Linked DNA regions of Tamandua tetradactyla. The protein of the gene in region 1 binds, or shares a complex with, the protein of each later gene. Links are inferred from orthologs where the notes say so. Each region holds a gene or a part of one and is shown on either strand. Other genes may lie near its edges.

Evidence for each region. The genes of interacting proteins can lie anywhere in the genome.
Region 2: the proteins of JAML (region 1) and CXADR are in contact, whole or in part, in a crystal structure (PDB 3MJ7), measured with the Mus musculus proteins. The link is inferred for Tamandua tetradactyla from reciprocal best matches to the Homo sapiens genes JAML and CXADR. Residues at the interface, in NP_001005421.3 of Mus musculus: Arg57, Asp59, Ala69, Tyr72, Phe75, Tyr77, Leu80, Val82, Glu120, Arg122, Ser127, Met128, Val129, Met130, Lys131; in NP_001020363.1 of Mus musculus: Thr23, Gly51, Pro52, Asp54, Glu56, Leu58, Ser60, Gln65, Ile66, Val67, Asp68, Gln69, Val70, Leu73, Tyr83, Lys121, Lys123, Lys124, Ala125, Pro126, Gly127, Val128, Asn130.

Annotation. Positions count from the first base shown.
Region 1 is NC_135334.1:22,494,164-22,497,909, reverse strand, and holds the start of JAML (junctional adhesion molecule-like), read right to left. Parts: upstream 2,901-3,746; 5' UTR 2,748-2,900; intron 1-2,747. UniProt on the Homo sapiens protein: Transmembrane protein of the plasma membrane of leukocytes that control their migration and activation through interaction with CXADR, a plasma membrane receptor found on adjacent epithelial and endothelial cells.
Region 2 is NC_135336.1:75,319,663-75,323,408, forward strand, and holds the start of CXADR (coxsackievirus and adenovirus receptor), read left to right. Parts: upstream 1-1,193; 5' UTR 1,194-1,320; coding exon 1,321-1,363; intron 1,364-3,746. UniProt on the Homo sapiens protein: Component of the epithelial apical junction complex that may function as a homophilic cell adhesion molecule and is essential for tight junction integrity.

The DNA of each region.
Region 1 (3,746 bases):
CCATTTGCATGGAGGAATAGTCATTGGTTAACATATCTGGTAACAACCCCTACTCCAGTCTGTACATTTGGAAGGACAGGACCATATCAATCTTGTTTATATTTGTATCACATTCCCAACCTATAGCACCTGGCAAGGTGCCTGGGACATACTGAATAAATGTTTATAGACATCCTACAACTGAGCCACTCAATTCTAAGGAGAAACCAGTGACTCCATAAAGACTGAATATAGTCACCCAGCCCCAGTCACTCAGAGCCACACCCAAACCATTTTCAAACAAATCTGAAGAAAACATGTAAACAATCTATGAATATAAGCCATCCATTTTCAGCCCTATGTACCATTAGATGTCTAAGTGAATGAAAAAAGAAATTATGTTTTTTTAAAAATTATCTTCTGGGGTCAGACTTTCTTTTTTTTGGGGGGGGGGGGGTGCATGGTCCAGGAATCGACCCCGGGTCTCCCACATGGACGGCAAGCATTCTAACCATTAACCTACCCGTGCACTCCATCAGACCTGCTTTTAACTAACTCTTCGATCTTTGGGAAATCACTCATCCTTCACATTAATTAAAAGGTCAGACCATTTTTTTACCTAGATAAAAAAGCACCACACAGCAATCAGTAGTTAACAGGCAATGAACCCAAGATGATTATACACCAGGCACTGTCTGAGCACTTTACACATTAACTCATTTAACCCTTACAACAATCCTATGAGGAGTTACAAATGAGGAATAGAGTCATAGGTTAGTGAAGTGACTTATCTAAGATCACAAAGCAAGTGGCAAAGGCAGGACAAACCCAGGCAGTCTGGCTTCAGGGTCTGTATCCTTACTATGCTGTACTGCTTCTCCACATTGGTGAAAGTAAATATTTTAAAGCAAGGGCTTCTCTGAACTTTATTATCAAAACAAACTTAATCTTCTCCCTCTGACCGAATGTTTTTCCCATCCCCATCACTCACCCCTTCACCTACCTAACCCCTGTTCATCTTTCAGATCTCAAGTTCAAGGTCATTTCCTAAGGGAAACTTCTGAATTATTCAGACCAAGTCTGATCCCTAGATAAATGTTTCAAGTACTATTTATCTTTCCTTTATAGGATGTGTCATTATTTATAATTATCTATTTTTTTGTATTTGCTTAAATTCTCACTCTCCATCCCCACTCCATCCCAAGACTATAAGCTCCATAAGGCCAAGAACAGTGCGTGGGTAGGCTTACCTGGTAATTAATTTCCTGGCCAGCACAGTGTGAAGGCCAGGGTAAGAGCTCAGTAACCACCTGCCAAATGAGCTAATAACACCTAACAGGAACATTTACCAAGAACAATCTAGTCACGTTTAAATTTCCTACTTAGATGACAAATATTCAGAAACTCCTATTATAAATGTACAGCAGGATATATAATATAATATAAAGAAGAATCTTGAATCTCAGTTTTTATAAACCCAACCAAAGCATTTAGAAGCCCCAGAAGCACCTTGAAAATAATAGACTCTATTTAAATTCTCAGCTTCTACTCTGCTTCCTGCCTTTCTCCAAATACTGATTTATCTCCTCAGCAAATGTTCTTGAGATAATTCCACACAGGAAATCATTGTATAAGTTGGCCAAACGTTTTGAGCTGGGCTCATGTCTCCTTCATTAATATCATCTATCACTATTGAAGGGTTACAGTGGAGAACCCCCTCTCCTATTATTAATAATGCAGGAGATTGTTATCTTTGATATAATTATGCTAGGGGAAAAAATCCTCAGAAAAGAGATTCATGATAGTGAGACTACTACCACAAGGTATAAAAATAACCTCCAAATGTTACAAGCTCACAGTAAAAGGATGAAAACTTTGTTTCCCCCAGGATCACAGGATATAACTTGTCCAAATCATCATTTATCCCAAACTTAGTACAGACAAAAAATAAGGGAGTGGTGGGGTTTCTCAGCCAAAAGTGCTGCCTCTAGAAAGGACAGCCAACCACTGAGCAAACATACAAATGCCTAACCGTTACATACTCAAAAGGTCTACTCCATATTGCTGTGAATCTATAGGCTCTCAGGTGCTTTTTGGTACAGAAGTCCACACAACCACTTTGAAACACGAAGCTTTTAAAATGCATTCCTGTCTTTCCTTCCAAGAGTGGCCATTGACATGGCATCTTACAACACAGCCCAAGTCACAAGTCAACCCTCAACCTGAAGGAAACCTTGGAAACCAATGCTCTTGGTTCTCCTTCAGACCAGGTTATACCTAAGTTATATCCACATCAGTCTTGCCCAAGGCCAGGGCTTCCAGAAGGTACAACAAGGGTGGACAATAGCCTAACTCTCTTGGGAGGTTTGAGTCCCTGGCTTCCTGGGGTTAAATTCTGTCTAGGTTTGGGAGGAGAGAAACAGTGAAGGAAGAGTCCTGCCATGAGTTCAAGAACACCTAGTGACAGCTCTACCTGAAACCCACAGGCAACATAAAAGCTAAAGCTTTATCACCATCACTTACTTTGTTGTTAAAAGCAAACCTTACTCTTCTTTTCTCAGAGTAACCTAAGTTACTTTACACTACAGAAAGAAAAACTGCCTTCACTAGACAACCATTTGACTGTGCCCTGGTGAGATGGCAAAAACTGCAATTGTGGCTTCGTAATATTAAAGGTTTGTCAATTAAACTCTTAATAACTGGCCTACTTCTGAGTGAGCAAGGTTCAAATTAAACAAGTACTTAAAAAATACAAAGAAATTGCTTACCCAAGAAGAACAACGCTGAGGGAAGCAATGCAGCCAAAATCTCTCAGACTGCGGTTCACCCAGCCCAACTGAAGAGACTTCTGCAAGCAGACTCCGAGCAAACCAAACGCGTGCGTCCTGAGGCAGCTGCAGAAATGCAAACAGGAACCTCTAAATCAAGGTTCTCAAAAGTTCTCATTTCAGTCATCTGGCCCATTACCCAATTCTTATTTATACTTTCGTTCTAAAAAGAGATCATTCAACTTACCAAGGTGGGCTTCAAATTATAGATCCCTCTGAGCATCATCTCTCCTTCTAGATTATAAGCTCTCTGGGAATAGGATCTCGAATGGCATCAGGCAAATGTTTGCTGAGAAAGAAGTCAGCCTTATGCAAGTAAAATATAGTAATTTATGATTTACACAGAACATTTTGCTTTGTATTTCAGACACAGTAGTCACCCTTTTTTTTTTTGTCTCAATACAGATTTGAAATATGATCAAGCATTCACCTGATCCCTGCTTCCAAAGTATGCCCACCCAATCCAAAATGTAGATTTCTTCTGATAGCGACATGCCAGCCTTTCCAGAATACAGAGAATTATTTCCCCAGAGAACACTTTGGATGACTTAAACATCCTATGTAAGAACTCAAGTCTTCTTTACTTCAAAGTATCTCATGGTCTTGAGTCACCACTTTAGACAAGTATTCTCACTGCACATGCCTTCAACTTTCACCAGATTAGTTGGCCTAGACATGTGCATACTCATTTTATGGAACCTGTCCTATATAATTTGAAAAGTTTTTGAATGCTTGCTCTTCTCAAGGAACGCGCCGCATGGTCCTTCAGAAAGTGTGTGCTGGTAAAACAGTGATTTTTGTACTGCAAATGTGCCCTCCCAGGCCAATTACAAGCTACCAATGCTTTAAAAACTGGCTCCAGCACACCACTGAATTTATGTAGGCTCTCTCGCTAGACTCAGAGATGACTGGTTGCTTGATGCTGAAAACCACAAACCC
Region 2 (3,746 bases), on another chromosome or scaffold:
TTTACACTAGTAAATGGTTGAAATGGCCCCTGAATTTACTTCCTCTTTCCTATCTCTTTTCTGGCTCAATAAATATAAGAATTTTCCAATATTATTTTTAATAGTAGCTACCACTTACTGAGTACTTACTATGTGTCAGGCAGTGTGCCAAGCATTTTGGGGGCATTATCTCATCTAATTTTCATAGCAACCGCCTGAGGTAAGTGTTACCTCTAAATAACTTGTCCAGTTCTTGGCCCTTTGCTGTGTCCAAGCTTTAACCATTGAACCACACTGCATCCCTCCTCTAATTCACTCCTGATAAGAACTATTCGGAACTCCAAAGTCTCCGTGGTTATAAATAAACGTTATCTGGAAAGAGCCACCCGAGAACAGTCAGGAAAATGACACAAGAGTAAGTGTGAAGAACGCCAGGGCAAAAGCGATACCGAAGGCTTTTTAAGGGGATCCCTAACTCCCCGCATCTGCTCCCCTTTATTCACCCCTACTTAGCCGCACTTTGAAAGCTTACTGGCCTTCGCTGGTCAATTTCAGGGCTGCAAGCCCTTGAAAAGCAGGGGGGGGGGGGAAACTCGGGTATTTCCCAAATCAGAAACTGCAGTTACGGAGTTCAATCATTACTAGCGATGGAGAAATGCCTCCTCGCGCCTCCTCTGCATTGGCCCTTCTCCACCTGGCGAGCGCACAGAAGCCGGTGCCGCGAACCCCTCCAGTCCGCTTCGCGCAGAGTCTCACGTGGGAGAACTGCGCCCCTACAGCAAAACGCCGGAGTTGGGCGGACGGCTCAGGGTACCCTGCGCCCTGGCACCGGGGGCAGTGGCTGGGAGGGTGGGTACGGGGTCCACAGCAGAAAACGCCCTTCAGGACCGGCGAGAGGCGGACAAATAAGGTCCCGGGCCCCGGGGGAGGGGGCGATCCCAGTTTCAGTCGCCTCGGGGGAAGGGCTAGCCCGCCCCTCGTCCAAAATACCTAGATATTTAACTGAAGGGAGGGGAAGAAGGGACGCCAGCGTCTCGCGCGGCGGGCGTACGGGTCCAGCTCTCGGGTCTCCCACGCTGCAGCCCGAGACTCGAGCCCGGTTGCCAGGGCAACCCCACGCGGCCGGTGAACCCGGCGCCCGCCGCAGGGAGGGGAGCGCGCTGCTGGCCGGGCCGCTTCCGGAAGTGACGCGACTTCACCTGCCGAGCGGGGGAGGGGCGGGGGCGCAGAGGTGGCGCTGCCTCCACCGCAGCGGGTCAGCAGCGCGTGAGGCTCCGGGAGAGCGAGACCGCGAGCGAGAGCCGCCCACCTGCAGCCGCCGCCCACGGCCGGGCCGCCACCATGGAGCTTCTCCTGTGCTTCGCGCTCGTCTGCGGAGTCGCGGGTGAGTGGTGGGGGGAGGGCAGGACGGTCCTCAGCGTCCCCGCCGCCGGCGCTGCCCCGGGGCGCTCGCTGCCCGCGGCCACCGAAGAACAATGAGGCGTGGGGGAGGGGGCGGGCGCAGTTTGGGGGCACTGCCGCTGGGATTGGCGGTGCGAGCGGAGTTGCACCGGGGTGATGTTTGCGGTGTCGGGTGTACGAGCTGCGAGGTTGCGGCGGCTCGGAATTGAGCCTTGGAAACGCGTAGGGTGTCTTGGGGGCGTTGGCGGAGCTGCGGTCGGAGCCCCCGGATGAGGGGTTGGGGATAGGGGTGGTAGTGGAGGGGCTCGTGGGTGAGTGGGCGCGGCCTGCCCCGTGCTCCTGTGTTCTCTCCTTAGACGGTTTGCAGTAGATGCGTGCTTTGCTTTATTTGCCCCGGTCCTTTCTTCTGTTATCCTCCGTTTTGTGTTGGTCCAAGGTTACCCAATTTTAAAAGCCTTGGGCGGCGAGTTTTCAGGTGCCAAGCAGTCCAAGCGGAGAGGCTGGATTACAAGCGCCATTATTAAGTGGACACTGAGCTTTTAGTGTTTCGGATCGTCCAAGTTACCTCTAGGAAAGAGGAGCAGAACGAACGCTTGCCTAGGCATTCTTGGTCTGGCAGAAGAGGGCCAGCCCAGGCGAGAGCTGCTAACTAGATGATAAACCCTGATAGGTGAAGTAGGAAGTAAACCACGGGCAATCAAAGGCTGGTTCCTGCAGAAATGCATATTGATTTCTGCAGTCCCGGGGCAAAGTGCAAAAAGAATTTAGTCATCACGGTTTTGAGTTCGTAATGAGTTGGTTTATTCTGAAGATAAGCAAGATCTTGCACGGGGTAACTCCCAAAGGATTCCTTAAGTACATTTTTTTCGATTGTGCCTTTCTCTGTGAGGGGAAAAAAAAACAAGTATTTAAAAATAAGTGGACCATTAGAAAGCGTAATCATTTTGACGAAAGACAAAGCAAAAACCGATTTATTTCCGTGTCAGTGTTTTAATGATCTGATCTTTGTCAAACTGAGAAGTGTATTTTATGACCAAATGATACATTAAAAATTCCATGGAGCCATGGAAAGCACACTTCGTCTAATCTCCGGAAGGCTGATTTTTTTTTAATGCTGGAAAGCAGGATCGGGTGGCCCTTTCTGTTGGGATGGCTCTCTGCTTCCTGTTGAAATGTTAATTCCATTGTTAGAAGACACAGCTGTGAGCATTACTCATGGGATCAAATAATCTATTACCAAGTCTAATCTTCTGATTCTGTAGAATTCCCTCCACCTTTTTGATACATATCGTTTAGACTTGGTTTAAGTTCCCAAAGTAAAGCTTCTGAAAAAGATGAAAGGTCACGTAACCAGTTTACATGGTGCCTTTGTCTCATCAAGTCCTAAACTGAAGTTGAAGTTGGCAATGCTTGTGTTCTCTTAGGAAAACTGTTTTAGACAACTCCTAAGGCAGAAAAATGGAAGAACAAAAGCAAATCAGTTAGAGGAATTATTTTTTCTGGGGATATCCAAGATAGTTGTCTGGATCTCATTTTTTTCTCACTTTGGTAGGCATAGTGTCAGCGAAGGTTCTTTATATATGCATAGAGTCATTCTGCTGATAAAATGCACTAGCATAGAGCAAGTATTTCATTAGAGGACAATATCGTGCCTTCAGCTAAACAAAACAATTCTTTTTATTCCAGTTTTCCAGTTTAGGAAAGAACTCAGAATCTGTGTAATTGATGTATAGCCTTTGAGAACATCAGATATGTCTATTAGAAATTTGTTGCTTAGAACTAGAGTGCATTGTTAAATTGAACACCTGCATTAGCAAAACAAGATTGAGGCTTGCGTTATTGGAAATTGCAATGCTCTCTCTGGTGTATCTTCCTCTAGTCTGTTTTATGTTGTAGAGAGTTTGGTATATTCTGACTGCTGATGGAATTCCTTTGAATACATTTTTATTGCTACCTAGTAGCAAGTTATACAACTGGTAATAGTAGTGATAATAGTAGTAGAACAATAGGGTAGCAGCAAGAGTAAAACTAAACCCTTAATTGTGCACTAGTTAAATGCCAGGCACTATTTTAAGAGCCTTACATATACTCAATCTACCTAGCAACTTTAAAAGGTATGTATTATAATTACCCCTGTTGAAACAGGTACAGGGAGGTTTCATAACTAAGATCACAGAGCTGGTAAATGGTGATTGAAGAAGTAAATGCAAACAAGTTATTGGCAGCACAATACTATGCTATTCTGCCTGAAGCAGCAGACATTTTCTTCTTTGATTATTTCTAATCAACATCTTAATTTCTACCAGCAATCATCTGTCATTTATTAAGAACCTGTTACGGGGTACCAGGGACAGAGTTGGGATGGG